Linked DNA regions of Rhinolophus ferrumequinum. The protein of the gene in region 2 interacts with the protein of the main gene of each other region in a pairwise test. Links are inferred from orthologs where the notes say so. Each region holds a gene or a part of one and is shown on either strand. Other genes may lie near its edges.

What was found.
Region 1: the proteins of JUN (region 2) and BATF2 interact in binary tests that used the Homo sapiens proteins (3 or more experiments, as listed by UniProt). The link is inferred for Rhinolophus ferrumequinum from reciprocal best matches to the Homo sapiens genes JUN and BATF2.
Region 3: the proteins of JUN (region 2) and UBC interact in a two-hybrid assay, tested with the Homo sapiens proteins (2 studies listed by BioGRID and IntAct, with this or other methods). The link is inferred for Rhinolophus ferrumequinum from reciprocal best matches to the Homo sapiens genes JUN and UBC.

Annotation. Positions count from the first base shown.
Region 1 is NC_046294.1:6,592,159-6,600,070, reverse strand, and holds the start of BATF2 (basic leucine zipper transcriptional factor ATF-like 2), read right to left. Parts: upstream 3,503-7,912; 5' UTR 3,319-3,502; coding exon 3,280-3,318; intron 1,946-3,279; coding exon 1,808-1,945; intron 1-1,807.
Region 2 is NC_046292.1:42,541,132-42,549,480, reverse strand, and holds JUN (transcription factor Jun), read left to right. Parts: upstream 1-4,766; 5' UTR 4,767-5,692; coding exon 5,693-6,697; 3' UTR 6,698-7,285; downstream 7,286-8,349. UniProt on the Homo sapiens protein: Transcription factor that recognizes and binds to the AP-1 consensus motif 5'-TGA[GC]TCA-3'.
Region 3 is NC_046308.1:3,432,241-3,439,698, reverse strand, and holds the start of UBC (polyubiquitin-C), read right to left. Parts: upstream 3,503-7,458; 5' UTR 3,498-3,502; intron 3,384-3,497; coding exon of another isoform or gene 3,269-3,383; intron 3,128-3,268; coding exon of another isoform or gene 2,990-3,127; intron 2,801-2,989; coding exon of another isoform or gene 2,706-2,800; intron 2,612-2,705; coding exon of another isoform or gene 2,538-2,611; intron 1,287-2,537; coding exon of another isoform or gene 1,189-1,286; intron 1,059-1,188; coding exon of another isoform or gene 973-1,058; exon of another isoform or gene 477-972; intron 1-476. Other genes in the region: probable ATP-dependent RNA helicase DHX37, read right to left, coding at 973-1,058, 1,189-1,286, 2,538-2,611, 2,706-2,800, 2,990-3,127, 3,269-3,383, 4,164-4,336, 5,221-5,337 and 3 more.

The DNA.
Region 1 (7,912 bases), on a different chromosome or scaffold from region 2:
GTCACCTGATCAGGGAGGGCTCCCCTAGTTAGGAGGGCCCCATCCCTTTCCCTCTTCCCTGCTTTGTTTTTCCCCATAGCGCTATCACTATCTGACATCCCAAACACCTCATGGACAATTTATTTGTCTGCCTGGCTCCCCCATGAAAATATAAACCCTGAGGAGGGTGGGCTGGCCTTTTGTCTGCTGTGCCCATGGCTGTATCTCCGATGCTTAGAACTATGACTGTCACACAGAAGATACTCAATAGACATTTCCGGAACGAATGAATAAATAAATGCATGCAGGAAGTGCCATTCTGGCATTAGTCATCAATCTTGCGCAATCTACAGGGTGCTGTCCCTCACGCCCATGCCAGCGTGAATTTGTTAGCCTGCAAAGCCTCTTCTTACCTCCATCCCTTAGGAAAACCATTTACCCTTCAAGACCAGCTCAGACTTTGTCTATATAACACCTTGAGGCAACTACCTGTCGTTGCCCACTATGTGTTCCCAGTGCACTTAATTCTGACTCTATCGTTCTCTCCACAGAGAATTACCGAGTCCCTTGTCTCTGTCAGACACAGTGTCAGGTGGTAGGGAAAACAGCAGGGAACAGTGGTTCCCTGCCCTCATGTTGCTTACGGTCTGGCAAGGGAGATAAGCTATGAACATCTAAATAGGTCAGTGCTAACAAGAAACATAAAGCAGAGTAATAAGGAGAGGGCTCTTTAGAGCAGATGGTTTAGAAAGGCCCCTCTAAGGAGGTGACATTTAAACCAAACAACAGGAAGGAGGTGAGGACCTAACTGGACTGCTGTCTGAGAACAGAGGGAACAGCAAGGGCAGAGCCTCTGAGGCTAGATGAGCTTGGCAAGAGAAGGCCCCGGGAGAACAGGGTGTGGGATATTAGGAGAGGAAGGCACACAGGTGGGCTTGGGCGTTGCAGAGAGCGTAGGGCCTTTGGGTGCAGAGTGCTGTGAGTTTTACTCACTTGAAGAACTAACATGTGCGCAACCCTCCCGAGGGCCAGGTCCTGAGCCCAGTGCTTAATTTCCCCCCTGGGACTGAACTGGTAGTTGTCCTTTCTCTCTGCACAGAGGAAGAAGGGAAGGCTCCAAGGGTCAGGTTACCATCCAAGGTCAAGTTACCATCCAAGGTCAAGAGGCGAGTGCAGGTGCAGCCCTCCCCTGCCCCACTGGGCTCCTTTGCCTTCTTTAGTTTCCACATGGATCCTGCCAGGGGGCAGGTATTTTTGTCCGTTTTCAGATGGGGACGGTGAAACTCAGCAGAAGAAGCAACTTGCAGCTAATGAGTGCCACAGCTGGGACTCTAAAGCCAGCGCATCTTAACCCTGAACCAGAGTTTCTCATAGTGTGGTCTTGGCCACCCACATCAGAACCCTGAGAGGCAGGGTGAGTAATCACAGTGCAGCTCCCTGGGCCCCATCCCAGCCTCCTGAGGTGGGGCCTGGGGCGGGGAGGAGGGGCAGGGATCCACATTTTAATGAGTGCCTCAGCTGGTTGCTGTGCTGGATTCTCCCAGTTTGCCTCTACTTCCTGTCTCCTCGCGCTAGACTGGGGGCTGCTAGAAGGCAGGGCCAGCTATGGATACACCTTTTGTCCCTGGAACCCAGCATGTATCTGGCACACAGTTTGCACTCAACACCCAGGAATTTCCAAATCTTAGTGGCAGAGTCCTTCCTTCCTCCCAAACTCAGTCACCAGGGAACACACAGCAGTGTAGGGGGAACCATTCCTAGGCAGATGGAGAAGAGGCAACTGGGCCAGGTGAGTGCAGGCAGAATCAGGGAGGGAAGCATCTCCCACCTGGTGCAGGGCGTCTGCCTTGTCTGTGTGCTTCTGCCGGCTGCGCTGGGCAGATGTCCGATTCCTCTGTTTCTTCTTCAGCTGCCTCTGATGCTCCTCTGGGTCCTGGCAGGGACTTGCGCCCTCCGTCCTGGCCTTCTGTAAAGCCGTGACATTCCTGAGTCCAGTCCCCGAAGGTCCCTTTCTCCCAGAAGCCATCTCTGGCTCCCTTGGTGTTCACACACCCCATCACAGGCACAGGACGCGTCATTGGCATGCCAGCCTCATTCGATCTCATGTTGGGGGAGGACAAGTGAGGAAGCTGGGAGCCTGGGACTCCAACTCAGAGGGACCTGACTTCACACCCAGGCTCTCCTTACCAGCTGGGTTACTCCAGGCAAGTCACTCACTACTCTGAGCCCAGCTACCTCATCCATTCAATGGAGTAACTTCCTCACAGACCATAAAGGGCCAGGGCCCAGGGCCAGCCCAGAGCCAGGGGTTAATATAATAAAGGTCAGCCGCTGATGTTCCCATCGCTATTATTTGCATGGTCAAGGTCAAGGTGTTGATTTCCCTAGCTATGAGTTCCACCTGTGAGGGCAGAGCTGGGGTCTGACTCTGCTCCAATGAGCCCAGGCCCAACTTAAGCCCAAAGCTGATAGTCACCTACTCAACAAATAGTTATTGTGCAGCTACTGTGTGCCAGGCACTGAGCTAGGAGGACACAGCAGTGAACAAAACAGGCAAAACTCCCTGCCATCAAGTTGCTCACATTCTAGTGGAGCAGCAACCTAGAATGAATGCACAAAGTCAGTTCTGATGGAAGAATGGACTCCACAGCTGTGACTCTTCCCAGACCCTGACCCCAGGTTAGGGATATAACTCAATATGCCCAGGAACTTTGGAAGGTCAGACAAGAGGGAATGTTGGAGACCCTGCAATCCCACCTCCCCTCTCCTAGGCCTCTCTGGGAAGGGCGTTGTAAAGAGCTCAGGCAAGACTCTGAGCTCCCTGGCTGAGGATGCCGTGCTCCTGGGTCCATGGCCACAGCAGGCTCATTACAGGTGCTGGGGGTGCCAGGAGACTGGAGCTTGAGGGAAAGACCAGCAGTGAGAGAAGTGGGTAGCCTCTGGTACCTGGGTCCTGGGAAAGGGGCAGGGCCTCTAAGTGGAACCATGCTGGAGAATTTGGGGAGGGAAGACAGGCTACATGAAGGGTAGTGAGGGGAGGACAGGTGGGTTAGGAGACAGCGGTATTCAGAGGTCAAGTTCTAACCTGGAGGCTGGATCTGCAAATGAGAGCTGGAAAGCCCTTTCCAATCCTTGACGAAACTGAAGGCCAGAGAGAGGGTATGTGAAGCCCATGGTCACATAGCCCATGTGCACAGAACTGGGATGAGATGCTCTGACCACCTGCTCCCCACCTGGGCCCTGGGGACTCTCAGGCACATTCCCTTTCTCCTCCCCCCGTCCCTGGTTTCCTGTACTCACCGTACCAGTTAGGAGCCCTTCACCCCCGCAGAGGTGCATGGCTTGGGCAGGGGGCAGAGGCTCACATCTGGTTCAGGGTGTCCCTCGGCTGCTGTGACCTCCCAGTGCCCTCTGGGGACCCAAGGAAGTGGCGGCTCTTTAAAACCCCGGTGACCACTCCGCCCCCAGCAAGCCAAGTTTCAGTTTCTTCTAAAGCCACCGGCTGCTCAGAATCCTTGGCTCGGGTTAGCTCACGTGGCTGGAATTTCCTAGTATGAACTAGCCTTCCGGTTGGGCCCCTTCTCTGGGAGGAGGACGGTGGGGGGTGGCCAGAGGAGGGGAGACCAAAGCCAGGTGTGAGGAGGGTGTTCTGGGGGCAGGAGGGCAGGCTGCCAGGGACAGAACCAAGAAGGAAAGGCAGTGAGGTACCAAGGGCTCATAGAAGATAAGGGAGAGCCTCTGGGTTCTGGAATATGAGGAGCCCAGGTTCATAGCCCACCCAAAACCACAGCACATTGGAGCTGTGCAGCTTTGAAAAGGTGGTTCACCCTCTCTGACCTTTAGTTTCCTCATCTGTAAAGGGTGTTGGGGGTGATACAAATATCCACTCACAGGCTTAATGTAGGAACCAAGCAAGATAACATAACACCCCAAACCCTGTGAGACCAACATCGAGTCAAAAATAAGCAATGGCTTTTACTTAGGAGAACAGATGGATCAATGACTGTGTTTCCATTCAACAGGCCACACAGCAGTAGAAAGAGTGATGTTTAGCAGTCAGGAGCACAGCTTCCAAGCTATGTGACTCGGATACGTGATTTCACCTTTCTGTGTCACTGTTTCCAAATCTGTAAAGTGGGGATAAAAACAATTTTGTCATGAAGATTAAAGGAGTAAAGGCATTATCCTCTCCTCAGCCTAGAATTGGGCATAAAAACCAGTCTCAGCTTTTGTTAGAAGACTTGACTCTGACACCTGACACTCTACTCACCAGGTCTATCTAACACCTGGAGCCTCAGTGTTCTCATATATTTGCTGGGCCGAAATCATACCTATTTTACAAAGTTGTCTTGAAGATGGAAACGAAGGGGAAGAGAAGAAAGTTCTTTGCATATTGGAAAGTAATATTTGGCTAGAATCCATTCCTGTTCCTGAGATTTGTGGGAACGTAGGATTAATGCAGGTTCGTAATTTAAAATGCCTGGGTGTGTGGGATTGGGCATGACAGCTGGGCCTGGCCCTCCTTGCTTGTGAGGGACCTGGGAGTCAGGATGAAGTAGGGGCACCCCAGGTAGTGAGGCTGCCCGATTTCTCCGAATTATTTTTGTTTCCCAGAAATCAAGAGGCCTGGGTATCTTGCCTGAGGTACCTAGGGACTCATTAAGCCTGTCCATGAGCTCTACAGGGAGCCACATGCATGATGTAACCAAGAAAAACCATCTTGAAGTGGGTGACTAGGGCCTGATTGTCCCCACCCCAGCCCCCAGCCCCAGACCTGAACCCCAGTCTTCCCCTCTCCAGACCCCGGTTTCATCAGCAAGTGTACCTGTGGCCCCTCCCAGAAGGCCTCCACCCTGGAGGAAGACCAAAGAAGGCAGTGTTTATGGCTTGATATCCCTGAGGAGTGGCAGGGAGGGATGGACATGGCGTGGGTAATGTTTAACTATGAGTGGCTGTGCAAGCCTTCCCCGCAGAGGTGGACTCCCTCCCCGGCTGGCAGAATAGGCTGCGAGGCCATCCAGTGCAACTTCTCACTGAGAAGGTGAGGATGCCAATGCCTGAGAGGCAAGATTGCCTGGCAGGAGGGGGCAGAGCTGGAGGGAGGACACGCCTCTCTCCACAAGCCCTCAGTCCTCCTCCACCCCCACCCAGTTTGGAAGGGCCTGGTTCAAAGCCTACAGCCCTGGTAAGTGAAGGCTTGGAGGCCTCCCAAAACCAGAGCTACAGAATGAGCTCCTGAGCAGCAGAACCACTACCTGTCTTACTCTCTAAAGTATCCTCGGTGCCTCAAACACTGCCTCCACATAATGGGTGCTCAACTAATGAATACATGAAGTCCAGCAGGCAGCTTGCCATCCGAGAACCCCAAAAGCTTCCTGGATGAGTAAAGAAAGCTCGGCTTTGCTCATTCCCACAGGACCTGCCCTGGGTTCTTCGGGGACTATTTCTAACGAACCCCCTCATTTTACCATTGAGGAAACTGAGGCACAGGGAGGGGACAGTCACATGGCTGGTGTGGGAGAAGTTAGGATGCCCTGATGCCCTGTCCCAATCCCTTCCCACACCTCCTGTGATTGGAGAGATGCTAGGGGTCTCCAGATGCCCAGGGAGGAGGCCCTTCTTTCTAAGTCCTCTAGCATGTGCGCCCCTCATTTGAGGCCTGGTCTCCTAAGGGCACCTCAAAGGAGCTTCAGACAATGGGTAGCAGAGAAAGAGGCCCGCTGGTTGCTGGTGAGGCTGAGGTACGAAGCTATTGACTTCCCACTTGCAACTGTGGATGGGCCGGCCTGGGAGCTAAGCCTCAGCTGGGACGGGTTTACAACCCAGCAGGGTGTGGGCCTCATGCAGGGCCCATGACCGGCAGGCAGGAGGGTAAGGGCCGCAGCGGGTACTTCATGTTGGGGAGACCAGAGAAGGCTTTCCAGAGGAGTGGGTGGGCTCAATCCCAGACCTGGAACTTGATCCTGGGCAAGTAACTTAACTTCCTTATGCCTCATCTGTAAAATGGGGATGATAATATAAGGATTTGATGAAGTAATATATGTTAGGGGTTTAGAACAGTGCCTGGCACAAAGTAACTCACACAAACCTCTGTTAAAATTTTAACAAAAGCACTCAATAAACACCTGATGAATTTTTTGTTCACATCACAATAGGCTTGTATTTTACTTCATTATTATTATTAATTTTAAGAAAAAATGGAGGAGTATAAGAACAGGGATGAGTTTTTCCTAACGAAGTATCTTTGTAATGAAAAAAAGAGAAGTTAATGATTGCATCCATGTGTAACAAGCAGCACTTAATATTTAGTGTGAATTGCTCAAAATTTCTCAATCATACAAAGGAATCTCAATAAGAGAGGGGAAACTAGGGTTCTCTGAATTCTTAGTTTTATAAACGATTTACCTGAAGTTTAATTACTAACAAGTCTAAAGTGTACCAGCTTCAGGCACGGCTGGATCATGATGCGCAAAGTCATCAGGAGCAGTGTCTCACCCTATCTGCTCTGCTTTGCGCTGGCTACATCCTCATGCAGGGACCACTCATGTAGTAAGATGGCCACCAGAAACACCAGCTTAGCTGCCCCAGGACAGGGGCGTATCCCTTGGCACTTTCTCAATACAATGGTACCTCGGTTTTCCAACGTAATCCGTTCCGGAAGACCGTTTGCGTTCTGAAACGTTTGAAAACCAAGGCGCGGTTTCCCCATAGAAAGTAATGCAAAATGGATTAATCCGTTCCAGACCTTTAAAATCAATCCCTAAAACAGCAATTTGGCGTGAATTTTACTATCTATTGATACCATAGATCCATAAACTTTACAGCATTCGTAAACCAAAATGTTTGTCAACGGAGACATTCGAAAACCGAGTGTGGGGACAGAGCCAGGAGTGCAGTTTCCAGGCCCTCGGTCTCACGTGGAAAGGTGCTGGCTCGGGTAATAGATGGCCGTCAGCTGTGGCTAGTTGGCCATCGGCTGTTACCGGTTAGACATTAGCCACTAGCCACTGATATAACTGCCGTAGCTAAGCTAGCAAGGTGTGGTGTGGTGGTGTGGCGTCCTGGCGTGGCGTGGCGTGGCGTGGCGTGGTGGAGTGTGGATTACCAATTGCAGAGAGGCGGATTGCAGCTAACAAGTGAGGTGGGTTGGCAGAGACAAGTGGACGAGGGGGTTGCGGATCGTGTGGCTCCTGCTCCTGTGTGTCCCCCAGCCGCCAGTGACACTACAGTGGTGTGACTCCCCTATCTACGGCTCGGTGGGTGTTCCTTTTTGGCCTAGCCACATCCTGCGTTCTTATGTGGGGAGCAGGACTAGAGACCCCGCCTGCCACCCTGCATGACACCGAGGTACTACTGTAGTTCCAACAAAGGGCCCAGGCCTGGCTCTCCTTGGATTGGCTTGAGTTGTGTGGCTAATTCACAGCGACAGGAGTCGCTGTGTGCAGGAGATAAAGGTGAGACAGGCAAGGCCAGGTCCCAGGCCCATCCTAGATAGGGTCAGCCTCATCTTCACCATAAGGCCCAGGGGTGATGAAAGGGTAACTCCCACAGGGTATTGGGGTGCTACTGGCAGGAAAGGGGTAACCAAGGCTGGGCTGATGTCACCAACGTGGCTCAGATTCAGGTAGGAGGAAGCTGCCACTTGGAGGTACATCCCTTGGCTGAGTCACATTCCCAGGTGGGACGAACTCAGTGCCCCGCGTGCATCTGACACCAAGCCCAGCACTCTCGCTTTGCTTCACAGGGACCTGTGGGCAGGAAAGCAAAGGCGTGCTGAGGAGGCAATTCCAAGAGAACTGAATGCTGGGCAGGGACTGTGGGCGCGGACTTTGTGGGGACTCCCCAGGGCACAGGGAGGAAAGGACTGACTCACTTCAGCATGACACCTTGCGAGTGCTCATTAAAGCTGGAATCCACAAATAGCCAGGCCTCC
Region 2 (8,349 bases):
TGACTGCACTGTGCTTTCTTCCCCATTGAAGTGTTGGGAATGACTGTGGAAGCATATATCAAGATGAAACCTTCTGCAGACTCAGTTTCTGAGTGAGTACATGAAGCAAAGCCCCTTTGACTTTGAACATGTACTACAAACAAGAAATAAAGATTTTTGTTAAGCCACTAAGATTTTAGGATTGTTTGTTAATGGTGGCAAACCTAGTCTATCCTGACTGATGTAAGAATTGGCACCTAGATGTGGGGTAATGTAATGGCAACAGTAAAAGTAAACATCCATTTAGAGGGCAGTAACTAAGAGCACTGTTATCAGAAGCTAAAAGGACAGTGATCTATTTGGTGAATATATCACCTGTGACAATTTAGAAGGCGTGTCATGAACCTAATCAACTTAAAGTGAGAGACTAAAACAAAATGTTAGTAGAACGTGTTGGTGGCTGTTGGATGCATTTGGAAACTTATTATAAAAAAAAAAAGAGATGAGCTCAGAGAAGACTTGGCCGGTTTGCCAACAAGAATGAAAGAGAGTAGGGACAATCTAGAAATTCAGAGATTTGTAGGGTTAGAAGAGGCTAAGTTGTTTCTCAGTCTCAACTAGTAAAATATATAACTAAAAAATGTTTTCAGCAAGAAAAGGCAAGTTAAAATTAGCCTTGAAGTATGGATCAAGTCAAGGTATGGCCTCAAGCTTATTTATTGTTCAAACCTCTTGACAAATAAAGGTGTTACCGAGCTATGTTTTCAATTAAACAAAATGGCTCTAGAAAAGAAAGGAAAAGTGTGACTCTCACACCAAAGCTCAATAAACCCAAAGTACTCAAAACCAAGCTGGGGAGCAGGGGAATGAATATGAGAGATTGAGAGATTGAGAGAGACAGAGAGAGAGAAAGAGAGAGAGAGAGAGAGGTATTAGCAGGCAGGAGAACGAGAAAGCTAAGAAATGTGGCAAACCACAGGACTATGTCTAGAAAAGAATTGGCTCTGGCTATTGGTACATGGAATGGCTAGAATCAAACAGATAAGAAGCCTACATTTATGTGAGAGTTGTACTGCCAAAAGAACATCAGCCTGGATTAAAGGAGACTGTATTTGAGACTTAACATGACTCTGTACCCTCCCCCCGCCAATTTTTGAAAGCTTATTTAGAAATATATTTCCCAATGCCTGCTTTAGATATAGAAGAGGAAGACTCTCTCAGAGGGCAAAGCCAGGGGTCATGGGAAAGAATGGACGGGGCAGCTACACTCGGGGAGCAGAATCAGGGCCTAACTGGGGTGATGGGTAGGGGGTCCTCAGTGGATTAGTGTCTACTGTGGTCTCCCATCCCTCCACTTCCACGTGATGTATGCACGGCAGTGTATCCTGCCTCAGTCCCACCATTACATATTGAAGGTGTGCAGGGTAGACACCTTGCTTTTAGTTGATAAGTCCTATCTGGAGCTGATATAATGTCTACTACGCATCACTCAGAACCTGGAAAGGAAGCTTGATAGACTGTGACTAGATGGGTCTTTAGCGTTGTCTCCCTTGAGGAAAGGATGAGGGAACTCTGCCTGTGAGAGGACACTAAGCCAAACAGTTGGGGAACCGAAAGGGAGACTGCTCGAGTCATTAGTGTGGTTCCCCAAATCTTCCTAGCTCTCTTGGTTCAAGATACTTGGTAGGATTACAGAGATTTCAAGTTAGGCATGGCCACGGGACTTGCTTTGGCTAATGATACAGAAGTACTGTGTGTCACTTCCAGGTGGATGCTCTGAGAGCCAGTCAATGATTTCCCGCCGTCTCTCCCCGCAGCCAAGGTAATAGTAATACGCAGGTGTCGAGATGAAGCCCTCTTCAACTGGAGTCCTTGAGTGACCACCGTGAACAGAACTCCCCCATAGACCCACAGTGGGCATGTAGCATCAGCAAGAAATAAACTTCCGTGGGATAAGACACTGAGACATTAGGGTCGTGTGTGAGGGCAGCATAGCCCAGCCTTTCCTAACTGGTACAGGGAGAGAGAGGTGAGGCCTGAGAGCAGGAGCTAGACTGTGAAAAGCTCCTTCTCCCAGGCAAAGGTGTCTAAACTCTCTCCTGGTTGTAAGGGGACGGCAGTGAAGGCTTCCAAGCAGGGGCGTTAACTTTTAAACAGATCTGTTATTTTTTGGATGAAATATGCTACTTCTCAACATAAGGAGAAAATCAGCCTACTAAACCACATAAGGCAGAGAGGAACACACAGAACCCTTAGGCAAAGATATATATATTTATACAAAGTCCTAATCTTGAATTTTCTAAATACAGGAGCTCTGAAAGGAAGCTCTGAAAGGAGTTACAGCGGCGCAGGCAAGGCAATTTCTTCTGTCCCACCATCGAAGTGCCATTTCCGCTGCAGACAATATGTTACAAGAAAATCTCCCAGAGCAGAGAAGATACGAGGGAATGTAACACAGACCTGAGGTCAATTTCCAGCTGCCTGTGTGACCTGAGCAAGATACTTAACCTCTCTGGGCCTAGTCCCTCATATGTTAAATCTGGTTAATAATAAACATAGCTCTAGATAGTTGTGGGGAGAAACAGCATATTTAAATTGCTCTGGCAAATGCCTGGCTGATAATAGGCATTTAATACATGAAATTTATTTTTATTACTCTCATAAAAATTAAGAACACCAGCTCCTTGATTACAGACGAAAATGATTTAGGGTAACAGTATAGAGAATACTCCCTCCCTGAGGAAAGTAACTGGATCTTGTCATCACTGTATTCTAACCCCACCCCTACCCCCCACCCCAGCTCAGTGCCTGCCTCACAGTAGCCACTCAGTTTTCCTCTGCTGCATGACTGAATGAGAGGTGAGTGCCTGGAGTAAAGAAAAGTTGTCAAGATTTCCCTGCCACTAGCTACTGTTGGGCTGTTGAATTTTAACCCTCAAAGCCAAAAAGACCATCAGACTCTGGGCTCTAAACGCGTAAGCTGAATTCCCCGAAGTTCTGAAGTTGAGAAGCCCGAATTAGAACCTAGGGACCTAAACTGCTGCAGGTCCAACTTCAAGCCTCAGTCACGGGCAAAAGGCCCAGGAAAGGGCTGCCTTCGACCCTTTCCTCCCTCACTCCCCTTCCTTCGATGCTCCTCACAGGAGTTTTTACACCTGTTCCTGTCAAGTCACACTCTTACATCCTGGCATTCCAGGGAGGCTCTGGGAAACTCGGGGAAGGAGGCTGTTTGGTGACTACTTCCTAGCCCTGAAGGTGATGATACTACCCTAACTCTGCCCAGTGAGGTGGTTTTCACCGCCCCGCCCCCCAGCCTCCCGCACCCCCGCCGCAGATAAAGGAACTGAAAAGCTCATAGAAGTTCGGTGACTTGCTCACTTCACACCATGGCAGCGTTGGCCACGACAGAACCCACGATTCCCGACTTCGGTGTTCTTTCCACCACACACTTTTGTCCCTAAGGGGGATGGGGGTGGGGGGAGATAACAAGAGCCACCAAAAAAAAAAAAAAAAAAAAAAAAAAAAAGGAACCACTTACATGTGTCTAGCGCTTCCTAGAGGCTACACAGGATATAGGCCCAGCTCCCGGGCCAGAGCCGTGAGATTTTAAATCCTGCTTCTATCCGACTCCTCGCTGCGTGACTTTTGGCGAGTGTCCTCTCGGACTTGTTTCCCCGGAAGCAAATCACGGCGGGAGGAGTGTGAATGTCTGTGCGTGTGTGTGTATTCGTGTGATGTGTGGTGTGCGAGTTCTTGTACGGGGGCAGAGAGTAGACGATCGCCGGGGTTCCCCGAGTTTCGGATTCCCTAAACGCTTGTTCTCAACTGGACTGAGTTGCCCCCTAATTGCACCCCTTATTAAAAAAAAAATACAAAAACCCTCCCCTCCGAGACGAAGCTATGACCTCGCACCCTTTCTCCCATCGTCGGGAGGGTGAAGTGGGGGTGCCCTGAGGAATTAGCTGATCACCAGTCTCGAGCAATGCAAATCACTCGGCTTCTAGGCGCAGCCAGACAGCCCGGCGGACGGTCGCTGGTGAACTTGACCAGGAGACAAACTTCCGAGCGTACTCAACGTGGGGGGGCTGACTCTCGGAGACTGCCCCTAAACTTAAGCCCACTTTCACTTGCCCCCACGGGGGACTTAACAGAGCCACCTTAAGGGCGGTGCTCCCGCCCCCCGGAAGTGCGGGGGAGGGAAAAACCCGAGCTGTAGACCTCCCGGCCCCGCGAGGCGGCGAAACGCCGGTGGATGCTATCCAGCACCCACGAAGTGGGGAAATACCACCCGTCTCGCACCCTCGGCCCCAGACACCCGGCCAGGTTCCCCAGCCCTCCGAGTCCCCGCGTCTTCTGCATTCCGCCCCGAGACCCGAACTTGTGCCCGCTTCCATCAGAAGATGCGAGCGCCCGCGTCGGCCGGGCTCGCAGTGGCCACCGTCACTAGACAGTCAAGCCCCAAGACGTCAGCCCACAATGCACCGGGCGGGCCGGGAAAGACGCGCCGGGGAGGGAGAAGAGAGGGGCGCGAGGCGCGCGGGAGGGGGCGGGGGAGGAGGAGAAAGAAGGGCCCAACTGTAGGAGGGCAACAGAGCATTACCTCATCCCGTGAGCCTCCGCGGGTCCGGAGAAGAATCTTCTAGGGTGGGGTCTCCATGGCGACGGGCGGGCCCGCCCCCTTGAGAGCGACGCAAGCCAATGGGAAGGCCTTGGGGTGACATCATGGGCTATTTTTAGGGGTTGACTGGTAGCAGATAAGTGTTGAGCTCGGGCTGGATAAGGGCTCAGAGTTGCACTGAGTGTGGCTGTATCAGCGAGGCGGGAGTGGAGGCGCGCGGACTCAGGGAGACAGGACAGCAGTAGAGTCCGAACTGCAAATCTGATTTTCTTTTCCATTTTCTCACCAAGTGCCCAGAGCTAGCGCCTGTGGTTCCCGGGCTGGTGTTTTGGGAGAGCGTCCGAAGAGCCCCCTCTCCAGCCGACCCAAGAGGAGAACCCCACTGCCCGGGCGCCGCTGACAGCGCGGAGGGCGGCGACTGTCCCCTGGAGAAGTCTGGCGAGCCGCTGTAGCGGCAAAGAACTTTCCTGGCCCCGAGGACAAGGGACAAGTAGCCCCTGAGTCCCGGACCGAACTTTTGCAAAGCTTTCCTCCGCTCCAAGCTGCCGCGGCGGCGGTAAAGAAAAAGCGACGGAGAGAGGAGAGCGAGGAGGGACGTGCGCTCGCACCGGTTGCTGAACTTGGGCGAGCGCGAGCCTCGGCCGCCGGGCGCCCCCTCCCCCTCGCAGCGGAGGAGGGGACAGTCGTAGGAGTCCGGGCGGCGGAGACCCGCCGCTGACCGGCCACTGCGGGGTCCGCGCTGAGTGCCGCCGCCAGGAGAGCGGCTGTCGCCGGGAAGCGAGTGAGTCCGCGGGCTCCGAGGAGCCGCTGCGCAGAGGAGCGCTCAGTGAGTGACCGCGACTTTTTAAAGCCGGCAGCGCGCGAGAGCCGACAAGTAAGAGTGCGGGCGGCGTCTTAACCCTGCGTTCCCTGGAGCGCGCTGGTGAGGAGGGCGCAAGGGGGAGGACAGCTAGCGGGTGCGCGCGCTATTAGATAAACTTTCCTTGCTGAAGGCCGGGCAGGCGCGGGTGTCCCCCGCTTGCCAGCGAGCTGTTGCGGCCCCGAAACTTCTGCGCGCAGCCCAAACTAACCCCACGTGAAGTGACGGACTGTTCTATGACTGCAAAGATGGAAACGACCTTCTATGACGATGCCCTCAACGCCTCGTTCCTCCAGTCCGAGAGCGGCGCCTACGGTTACAGTAACCCCAAGATCCTCAAACAGAGCATGACCCTGAACCTGGCCGACCCGGTGGGCAGCCTGAAGCCGCACCTCCGGGCCAAGAACTCGGACCTCCTCACCTCGCCGGACGTGGGGCTGCTCAAACTGGCGTCGCCGGAGCTGGAGCGCCTGATAATCCAGTCCAGCAATGGGCACATCACCACCACGCCGACCCCCACCCAGTTCCTGTGCCCCAAGAACGTGACGGACGAGCAGGAGGGCTTCGCGGAGGGCTTCGTGCGCGCCCTGGCCGAACTGCACAGCCAGAACACACTGCCCAGCGTCACGTCCGCGGCGCAGCCTGTCAGCGGGGCGGGCATGGTGGCTCCCGCGGTGGCGTCCGTGGCGGGCGGCAGCGGCAGCAGCGGCTTCAGCGCCAGCCTCCATAACGAGCCGCCGGTCTACGCCAACCTCAGCAACTTCAACCCGGGCGCGCTGAGTAGCGGCGGCGGGGCGCCCTCCTACGGCGCGGCCGGCCTGGCCTTTCCCGCGCAGCCCCAGCAGCAGCAGCAGCCACCACAGCCGCCGCACCACCTGCCCCAGCAGATCCCCGTGCAGCACCCGCGGCTGCAGGCCCTGAAGGAGGAGCCGCAGACGGTGCCCGAGATGCCCGGGGAAACGCCTCCCCTGTCACCCATCGACATGGAGTCCCAGGAGCGAATCAAGGCGGAGAGAAAGCGCATGAGGAACCGCATCGCTGCCTCCAAGTGCCGGAAAAGGAAGCTGGAGAGGATCGCCCGGCTGGAGGAAAAAGTGAAAACCTTGAAAGCGCAGAACTCAGAGCTGGCGTCCACGGCCAATATGCTCAGGGAACAGGTGGCACAGCTTAAACAGAAAGTCATGAACCACGTTAACAGTGGGTGCCAACTCATGCTAACACAGCAGTTGCAAACGTTTTGAGGAGAGACTGTCGGGGGCTGAGGGGCAACGGAGAAAAAAAAAATGAGAGAGAGACAGACTTGAGAACTTGACAAGTTGTGAGAGAGAGAAAAAAGAAGTGTCGGAGGACTAAAGCCAAGGGTATCCAAGTTGGACTGGGTTGCGTCCTGACGGCGCCCCCAGTGTGCACGAGTGGGAAGGACTTGGCGCGCCCTCCCTTGGCGTGTAGCCAGGGAACGGCCGCCTGCGGGCTGCCCCGCTTTATGGACGGGCTGTCCCAGCGCAAACAGAACGTTAGACTTTACTTTAACATTGACCAAGAACTGCATGGACCTAACATTCGATCTCATTCAGTATTACAAGGGGGGAGGGGGAGGGGTTACAAACTGCAATAGAGACTGTAGATTGCTTCTGTAGTACTCCTTAAGAATACAAAGGGGGGAGGGGTTAGGGGAGGGGTGGCGGGAGGGAGGTTTGTGAGAGCGAGGCTGAGCCGACAGATGAACTTTCTGGCCTGCCTTCCTTAACTGTGTATGTACATATATATTTTTTTTTAATTTGATGAAAGCTGATTATTGTCAATAAACAGCTTCATGCCTTTGTAAGTTATTTCATGTTTGTTTGTTTGGGTGTCCTGCCCAGTGTTATTTGTAAATAAGAGATTTGGAGCACTCTGAGTTTACCATTTGTAATAAAGTATATAATTTTTTTATGTTTTGTTTCTGAAAATTCCAGAAAGGATATTTAAGAAAATAAAATATTGAAAAAGTACCCCTCCCCCAACCTCTTTTCTGCATTATCTATAGATTACCTATCTGGATGGAGTGGAAAGAGTTAAGAGTGTCCATTGAAATCACTCTCAGGGCTGCTTACTATCAAGCAGTAAAAACTATTCTCTACTGGGCATGAGAAATAACTGGAGCTGATGCTCTCACCAAGTTATACACTTCCCTCCCTCATTATCTATATAGAGTTGCTTACAAAGGGTAGTGTGGACCTTGAGGAGGCTGAGGGAAGGAGGGTTGTGGTGAAGAGGGATTGCCCACTGGGAAGTCCAACACTTTAAAGTTTGGATTAGAGCAAGTGGCATGTGCTGTGACCATTTATAACATTAGCAGAAATTTCACAATAGATGCTTATTTTCAAAGTAAGAATAGTGGCAGATTTTTACAAAAGATGTACCCTTCCCATTTGGAATCTTCACTTGAACAATTCCTAGGTTTAAAAAGATGGTCTTTGCTTATGAATATTTATAACAGCATTCTTGTCACAATAAAGGTATTCAAATACCAATAACATCTTGAATTCCTTTCCCTTTACTACTTTTTTCTTCCCGAGCTCTATATTGAAGCTTTTCTTTTCAGTTGCTGGGGTTGACATTACTGCCACTGAAGTTACTTGGTAATTAAGCAGAGAATTTAAGAAGGGTCAACACAGAAGTTGCAATCTGGATGAAGCAGTTCATTGTCTCTCTCTCTCTCTCTCTCTCTCTCTCACTCTCTCTCTCTCTCTCTCTCCTCTCTCAAACAACTATGCCTAGACAAATTACCAGTATAACAGTATAGCAGTTTACCATTTGGGATTCTTCTAATGTTTGTCTCTTAATTTGTTTCTAAAATAATTAACTGTGTTTAAGTAATTATTATAGAACCAGCCTCAAAAGATGGTAATCT
Region 3 (7,458 bases), on a different chromosome or scaffold from region 2:
TATGATCCGATTAAGGTTTACCTCTAGCGGCCAGGTGGAGAATACCCCAAACCACCAGGAAGTCACAGCACAGCCTAACCCTGGTGGAGGTGGAGCATGACGGGGCGCTGGACAAACTCTGGAGGTAGTGACAGAACTTGCCCATGCCTTGAATGTGTGTGTGTGGGAGAGCAGGGGCAGGGAAAGAGAGACCTATCTGGGGTTAGTGACCAGGAAGTGGGGAAAATGAATAGCTTTGGAATATTAAACACGTATCTTGGGAGTTTTGTCTTACTTACGTATGTACATTATGGAACTTGTTCGTTTATTTTGCATTTATATTCTGGTAGGAGTACAGATTGATTTCAGAAAACGACCTAAGTGAGAGGAAATCAACACCCTGCAGGCTCACAGTGCCAGACCGCCACTAACACCTGGGGCAGGACCCACCCAGACCAGTTTCTATACGGATGTACCCAAGACCCCCCCCATTCAGAGATTCGTTAGGACTCACTGGACTCACACGCCAAGATTTATTACAGCAACATAGGCGACAGCTGCCCCTGGGGAGGAGACACCCACGCCTTGCGCCCCACTCCACAGGAGCCTGGGCCCCCCTCACTGTAGGGTGGGTGTACCGCACCCCCAAAGGGGGGGCGCTGGGAGGAGGCCCTGCAGTCACCGCCTCCTGCTCTCAGCCACTTCACCCTCCAGCTCCACAAGGGACTAATGTAGTCCACAGAGCACATTGAAAAGGGGACTCGCACGTGAGATAAACTGTTACCCACCACGTAATAAATAGTTATAAAAAGTCACCGCCAGGGCAGATTGCCCACGGCGGCAGGCAGCAAGCTGTGTCAGAACCGGGCCAAGATGAAAGAGGGTTTCCAGAGGCTGCCTCCTGGGTGAAGTCCAGGGGCCAAGGGGTATCATGTCAGAAACTGGCTGCTCACATGTGGTGCTTGGCCGGCAGGCCAGGCACCAGGTCAGACGTCAGAGGTCAGAGGTTGGGGGCCAGGCTTTCTCCACATCGGCGTGCATGGCCTCGGGGAGCCACTCGCAGTACTCAGCCAGTAGGTCTGCAGGGGCAGAAGACAGCGTCAGAATGGCTCTGTGCCCAGCTGCCCTGCCAACCCTGGGTTGCCTGGGCAGACCCCGTCCCATCCGCTCCCAAGCCCTGGTTAAGGGGCACCTGCCCGTCAAACTCACATTTGGGGCTTTTCCTCCAAGCAGCCAGCAAGGCGTCTCGGCAGTCGGCCTTCTCGGCCACAAGGGCCCTCAGGAGACTCTCTGTCCTGGGCTGCAGCCTGTGGGAAGGGATGGAGGGCATTATGCCACCCACAGGGCTGCCCGCTGTGGGAGGGGGCAGGCAGCCCTGCCTTGGTGGGTAAAGGATCCCTGTTCCTCCACCATGCTGGGTGCCGTGGCTCGATGGAAGGCTCTAGACGTCACCACCTCCTACCTGCCTCTGGTCCGCCCGCCCTGGCCTTTCTTCTACTCCTTGAGCACTCCCCCACCCATGCTGCTCGTCCCATCTAGAACCTTCCTCCAGATTTCCACCTGGCTCACAGCGGCCTCCTCCGAATCTGCCCAGTCAGGCTCTCCTGACCAACCCCCCCAGGCCCCACACCTCATCGCTAACGTCCTGCTCTGTAGCCGCGTCACCACCCGCCATGTGTACTAGCTGTGTTGTTTGGTGTCAGTCTCCCTGCACCGGACGTCCCCACAGGGACAGGGTCCTGCCTGTATCCCAGCAGAGAGGGTGATCAAAACCAGCTGCTGGGTGAACAGTTGGCTGGCAGCAGCCTGGCAGGGGGCGCCTGGCCCCACACCCTCCTCCTGAGTCCCTGGAGTGAGGGAGTGAGAGGGTGGACTTGCACCCATCTGCTTCCAAGACCCCTCCCGTGCACCTTCCAGACGCCAGCCTCAGGGAGGGGGAGGCGTCCACTTGGAGCTGGCCAAGGTGGAAAGAGAACAAAAAGGGAGGAGCAGGGACAGGCAGGGCAGAGGAGGATGGTGGTGATGGGCGGGACTGGGTGGGCCTGTGCGCAGCTGGCAGGAAGCCCCTAGGGACGCAAGCATGTAGAACACCTCCTCCTGGCACCTGGCAGCTGTGTAGTGGGTTGACCAATGTCTCCCCAAAAGTCCACATCCACCCAGAACCTCAGAATGTGACCTTATTTGAAAAGAGGGGCTTTGGAGATGCAATTCAGATGAAGTCATACTGAAGTGGGGTCGGCCCTGAACCCATGATGTGCTTACAAGAGAGGACATGAGGGGACAGCCATGTAAAGACAGTGGCAGGGATCAAAGTGATGTGGCCACAAGCCAAGGAATGTCTGCAGCCACCAGGAGCTGGGGGAGGAGGGAAGGAGCCTCCCCTAGAGCCCCCAACCCTGCTGACACCTGGATTTTAGACTTCTGGCCTCCAGAACTGAGAATACATTTGTTGTTCTAAGCCAGTCAGTTGGTGGTGACTGGTTATGGTGGTCCAGGACACCAATCCCAGCTCCTGCCGCCACCCCCCGCCACCCTGGTGCTGCCGGGAAAGGCTGTACCTGGCCCACGTCTTCAGCATCGTGCTGGGGCTGGACAGCAAACAGCCCTGGTATGAGGCCAGCTTGGGGAAGACCTGAGGAGAGCGCACAGGGCAGGGTGAGGGGTCACCTGGCTCACCTCCCGCCCACAGCACCCAGGACGGGGCGGGGAATCACCGGGCTCCCTACCTGCCCTTCCAGCAGAAAGCGGGCAAAGTGCTTGTAGCAGTCGAGGCCCTCCGGGAAATCCACCTGGACCGCGGGCAGTGGCCAGCCGACGCGATCTGGACGGCAGCAGCCAGTAAGCGAGGGACCGTGAGGGACCCCCACATCCTCCCCAGAACCAGCCGGAGCCGGGGGCCTGTGGTGACACCACCTGAGACACACACACACACACACACACACTTCCCAGTGTAGGGTGTGGGACCGTGTCCACGGGAGCCCAAGGCCACCAGGAAGCTGCCCCAACTCACAGAACACGCTGGCCCGGTGACACAACACCCGCCCCTTCTCGGGGCAGTAGGCAGGGGGCGGCTCCTCCAGGGGCTTTTCGAACTGGCAGTAAGCAGGCAGCAGGGCTGGGATCCACTGGGCCTCCACGGTGCAGACACCTGGGGGCCCAGGAGAGAGGGCTGAGGATGACAGTGACCAAGCTGTCTGGGAGGGGCTGTGTCCTCCCCACCAAGGGCCCTGGCGTCACAGCTCCCCAGAGCCCGTGAGCAGGGCGAGGGGCCGGCCACCGGCTTTGCTACCTTTCATGTACAGCTTGGTGGTCTCCACAATTTCCTGGTAGACCACAAAGTCGGGCAGCTCTTTGAAAAGGACGGAACTGGGGTGGATGTAGACAGGGTCATCGAGGAGGGGGGTCTGCAAAGAGAGGGTGAGTGGTGTGTGTCGCAGACACAAGCACAGGTGCAGGAACCCATGTGAATTCAGCTGCACGTGCGGCTGGGAAAGCGGAAGAGCATTCTGCCAGGTGACGAGCGGCGTGTCCGTACCGGGGACCAGTATTCAGCTGAGCGAAGACGCCGACACAGGTACTGACACGTGCCTCACTCACCACCATGCTGACTGAGAGAAGCAGGACAAAAAAAGGCCACAGTGTATGCTTCCACTGACACGAAATATATGGAATCAGCAAAGCCGTAGAGACAAAAAGGCAATTCACGGAGTGGGGGGTGGGGGGTTAGGAGAAAATGGAGAGACTGATAATGGGGACGGGGTTTCTTTTTGGGGCGATGAAAATATTCCAGAATTGATCGTGGTGATGGTTATACAACTCTGTGAATATGCTAAAAACCACTGAATTGTACACTTTAAAATGGTGAATTGTCCACTTTGTGATTCCTCTCTCCATTAAGCAGTTATGAAAATAGACTTGGGGTGAAGCTAATCCCCAAAGGAAGTGTGACTCCTGTACACCCCATCCTGTTCCTTGGTGGGGACTTTCCCAGAGGCTGCAGTGACAGGACCGAGGACAGGTCCCCGCAAGGGTCCCCTGGCTGCTCTAGGTGTCCCGACAATGCCCAGAGGCAGGCATCACAAGTGCCCAGGCTGGCAGGACTCGAGACAGATGGAGGGTGGGGTGGAGAGGGGAGCCCGGGCATAACGCCTGCCACGCTGCCTGCTCCCGAGCTGGAATCTGACCTTATACGCATTCTTCCACTTGTCGTCCAGCAGGTCCTCGCTCTGGACCCTGCGGGCCAGGTGGTCGCCCAGGCCGGCCGTCACGATCTGCCGCAGGTAGGTCACCTGGCTCTCGGAAGGAGGTTGCATCTTGGGGTCCACAAAGAGCCCAGCCTCAGGGCACACAGAATTGACTGGGGGAAAAGCCAGGTGTGAGGACAGCAGTGGACAATGGTGGGACCTGCGGTCTCGGGCTGACCTTCTGGGAAGCCCCGACACCACTCAATGCTGAGCTCTGGCCTCAGCACCTGTTCCTCTCAGCCCATTTCCACCGAGGCTGCTGGGTGGGCGGGAGACAAAGCCCTCAGCGGGGCAGAACCAGCTGCCCACGCCATAGCCACGCCCTCTTCTTCCTTAGGACAAAACCCCAATATTCCTCTGTGGGTGGCAGAGTGAGCTGCCAAGAAGCCACCCCCTCAGATGCCAGGGTGGCGCCGGGACTCGGTCCTGCCCCTGATATGACGATGGAGTTGCCGGCTGGAATTTTTGGAACGCTCCTCTGGCCCCTTCCTCCTGCCTGGAAAGCAGGTGTGATTAGATCTCCCAGTGTCTTCTCGGTCCCTGAGGTGGCCTCGAGGATGGAAGCCACGTGCAAGGCTGGCAAGACAGCAGCCCAGAAATGTGTGGGCCTCTGGAGACCCCGTGAAGCCAGGGTCAGACCCTACGTGGGATCAGGGAACCCAAGGGTGAAACTGGGGATGCCCAGGGGCAGCTGGTCCAGATCAGAGCCAGGGACAGAGGGTGACGCGAGGGACCGCACTGGAAAGGATGAGGCCGAGGTGTGCGCGCCTGCTCACTGGCGGGTCCTCAAAGGACCGCAGAGGCGCCAAGTACTGACTTAGGGTTACGATCAGTCTCAGCGAGGTGAATGTGTACACGTGGGACCTGTGATAACTGGGGAATGACTGTGCACAGATAACGTCGATGAGAAGAGCTTTAAACATTAGTCCCGTTTGTGCTGGGGGCCGCCTGTGGCAGGAGTCCTGGGGAGCCCCAGAGGCGGGTGTGTGGGCCGTACCTGCGGTGGTCAGCTGGCCCCGCAGGCGTCGAATCTCCATCATAGCCTTGTACCGCAGGCCGCTGACCTCGCAGAACTGAGGCGAGCAGCCCGCGTACTCGCAGGCCCCCACGGCACCTGTGGACGAGGACGCACTCACTGACTGTCCCCCAGGTCCCACGGGCCCGCCCCCCTTGGCTGGGGCACACACCCAGCAGCACCATGAGGTCTCCGAGTTTCAGGGAAGCGCCTCGTCCTGCCCAGGTCCTCTTCATCAGGGCCACCCGGGCACGTCTGCCCTTCAGCGTGGCCCGCTCCTCGTCGCTGGACGCTGGTCTGCAAACACATACACCACCTGACTGTCGTCCTGGCTGAGGGCCACAGGGGCAGGAGGCGCACAGGTTCAGGGACAGAGACCATCCATGCCCGGTGGGGTCGCTAACATGATCAAGGTCTTCAGCTCTGGCTCAAAATTTACCCTAAAATTCACCTCCGGTAGCCAACAAGATAAAAAATGTGAATGCCTCCTACCCACGATTTCACATTTAGAGATCAATGTAAAGACACAATCCTACAAATGAGTAACATTGCACAATGCCGTGCAGCTTACAAATAGTAATAAAAAAAAAAAAACCCTGAAAAATGCTGAAATATACACCAAGTATGGACTGGATAAACGAATTTTCCCCTGGTTCCCAAACCTGAAAGTAATGACACTCAGGCAGGTGTCAGGTATACTTTGAAGTCCCTTATGTTAACTAACGTAACCCTAACAACAACTCAGTTATTAATAACATCTCATCCCCATTTCCCAGATGGGGAAGATGAGGCACAGAGAGGTGAAGTCACCTTCCCAAGGCCACACAGCTGGGGAGTAGCAGAGGGAGATTTGAACCCAGGCAGTCTGGCCCAGAGCCTGGGCTCTTAGCCATCATGCTACAGAGCCTTGTATCAGCTTTGCGCGAGGAATTTCCTTAGAACACGTTCTGTAGCGACCAGAACACTGGAGCTCTGGAGAATGAGGGTCTTGCACAAGACCACCCAGTGATCCAGTTATTCCCTCAGAGGCCGGGCTCCAGGCCCTCTCTCAGCCCAGCGCACCCCGTCAGCCTGAGCATGAGGCCGGAACGCACAGCCCCCCGCCCCCACCTGTCCAGTTCCACGAACAGCTCCCGCACGGTCATGGCGGCCACAATGGTGATGGCGTAGGGCAGGCAGCCGTGTTGTCTGCTCAGTGCCAGCATCTTGGCATAGCGGGGCGCCACGGGGAACGTGGCCATGGTCCTGCCCAGCGCGGTGATGGGGCAGCTCAGCCGGGACCTCTGCAGCTGCTTCATCCTGGAGGACAGAGGAGGCTTTAGCGCCAGAGCTAAGAGGCCCCGGTGCTCAGGGCAGCTCAGGAGAGGGGAGAGGGCCAAGAACGGGGCGGGAACTGGGCTCCCCCCACCAGCCCCTGCCCTACCTTTCTGTTTTCTGGGGCACCTGCAGGGCACCCAGCGAGATCAACAGCTCCTCGGCAGCAATGAGGGCCTCCACAGAGGGAGGAGTTGGAAAGGGGAAGTTGATGACCTGGGACACAGGAAAATGCGCAGGTGACAGAACTGAAGGCACAGAAGTGGGCACGGTCACTGCAAGGGGGAGCCGGGCCAGGCCTGGCCACTCAGAAAGGGCCCCGGGCAGCCTCCAAGTCCAGGGGCCAAGGGAACCCCGAAGGCCTGTTTCCTTCATGTGGTCACATCAGCCACTCGCTCCGAAGCAGGTCTGAGCCCCTAATGTGCGCGGGGGCTGTTCTTGGCAAAGGAGATTGAGAAAAGCAAGACCAGGGCTCTGCCTCCACTGAGCTTTCATTCAACCAGAAGGGGCCGTAGACGGGAGCAAACACATAAGGAAGAGTAAACGTGCCCCGACAATAAAAGGTGACAGGACAGGGAGTGGGGCTCAGGGGTGGTGGCACCTTAGAAAGAGGGACCAATCAAAAACGAGTGTTCTAATCAATCCTTGTGCACTCATGTTCACAGCTGCCAAAACGTGGAAACAACCCAGTGTCCAGCAGTGGGCGAACGGATACACAGAATCCGGTTCATGCGTACAGCACACTGGATGTGATCTGGCCATAGAAGGAATGAAGCACCCACACGAGCTACAGCGTGGATGACCCGTACAACATCACGCTGAGTGGCAGAAGCCAGACACAAAAGGACGAATTCCGTATGACTCCATTTCTATGGAATGTCCGAAATGGACAAATCCGGAGACAGA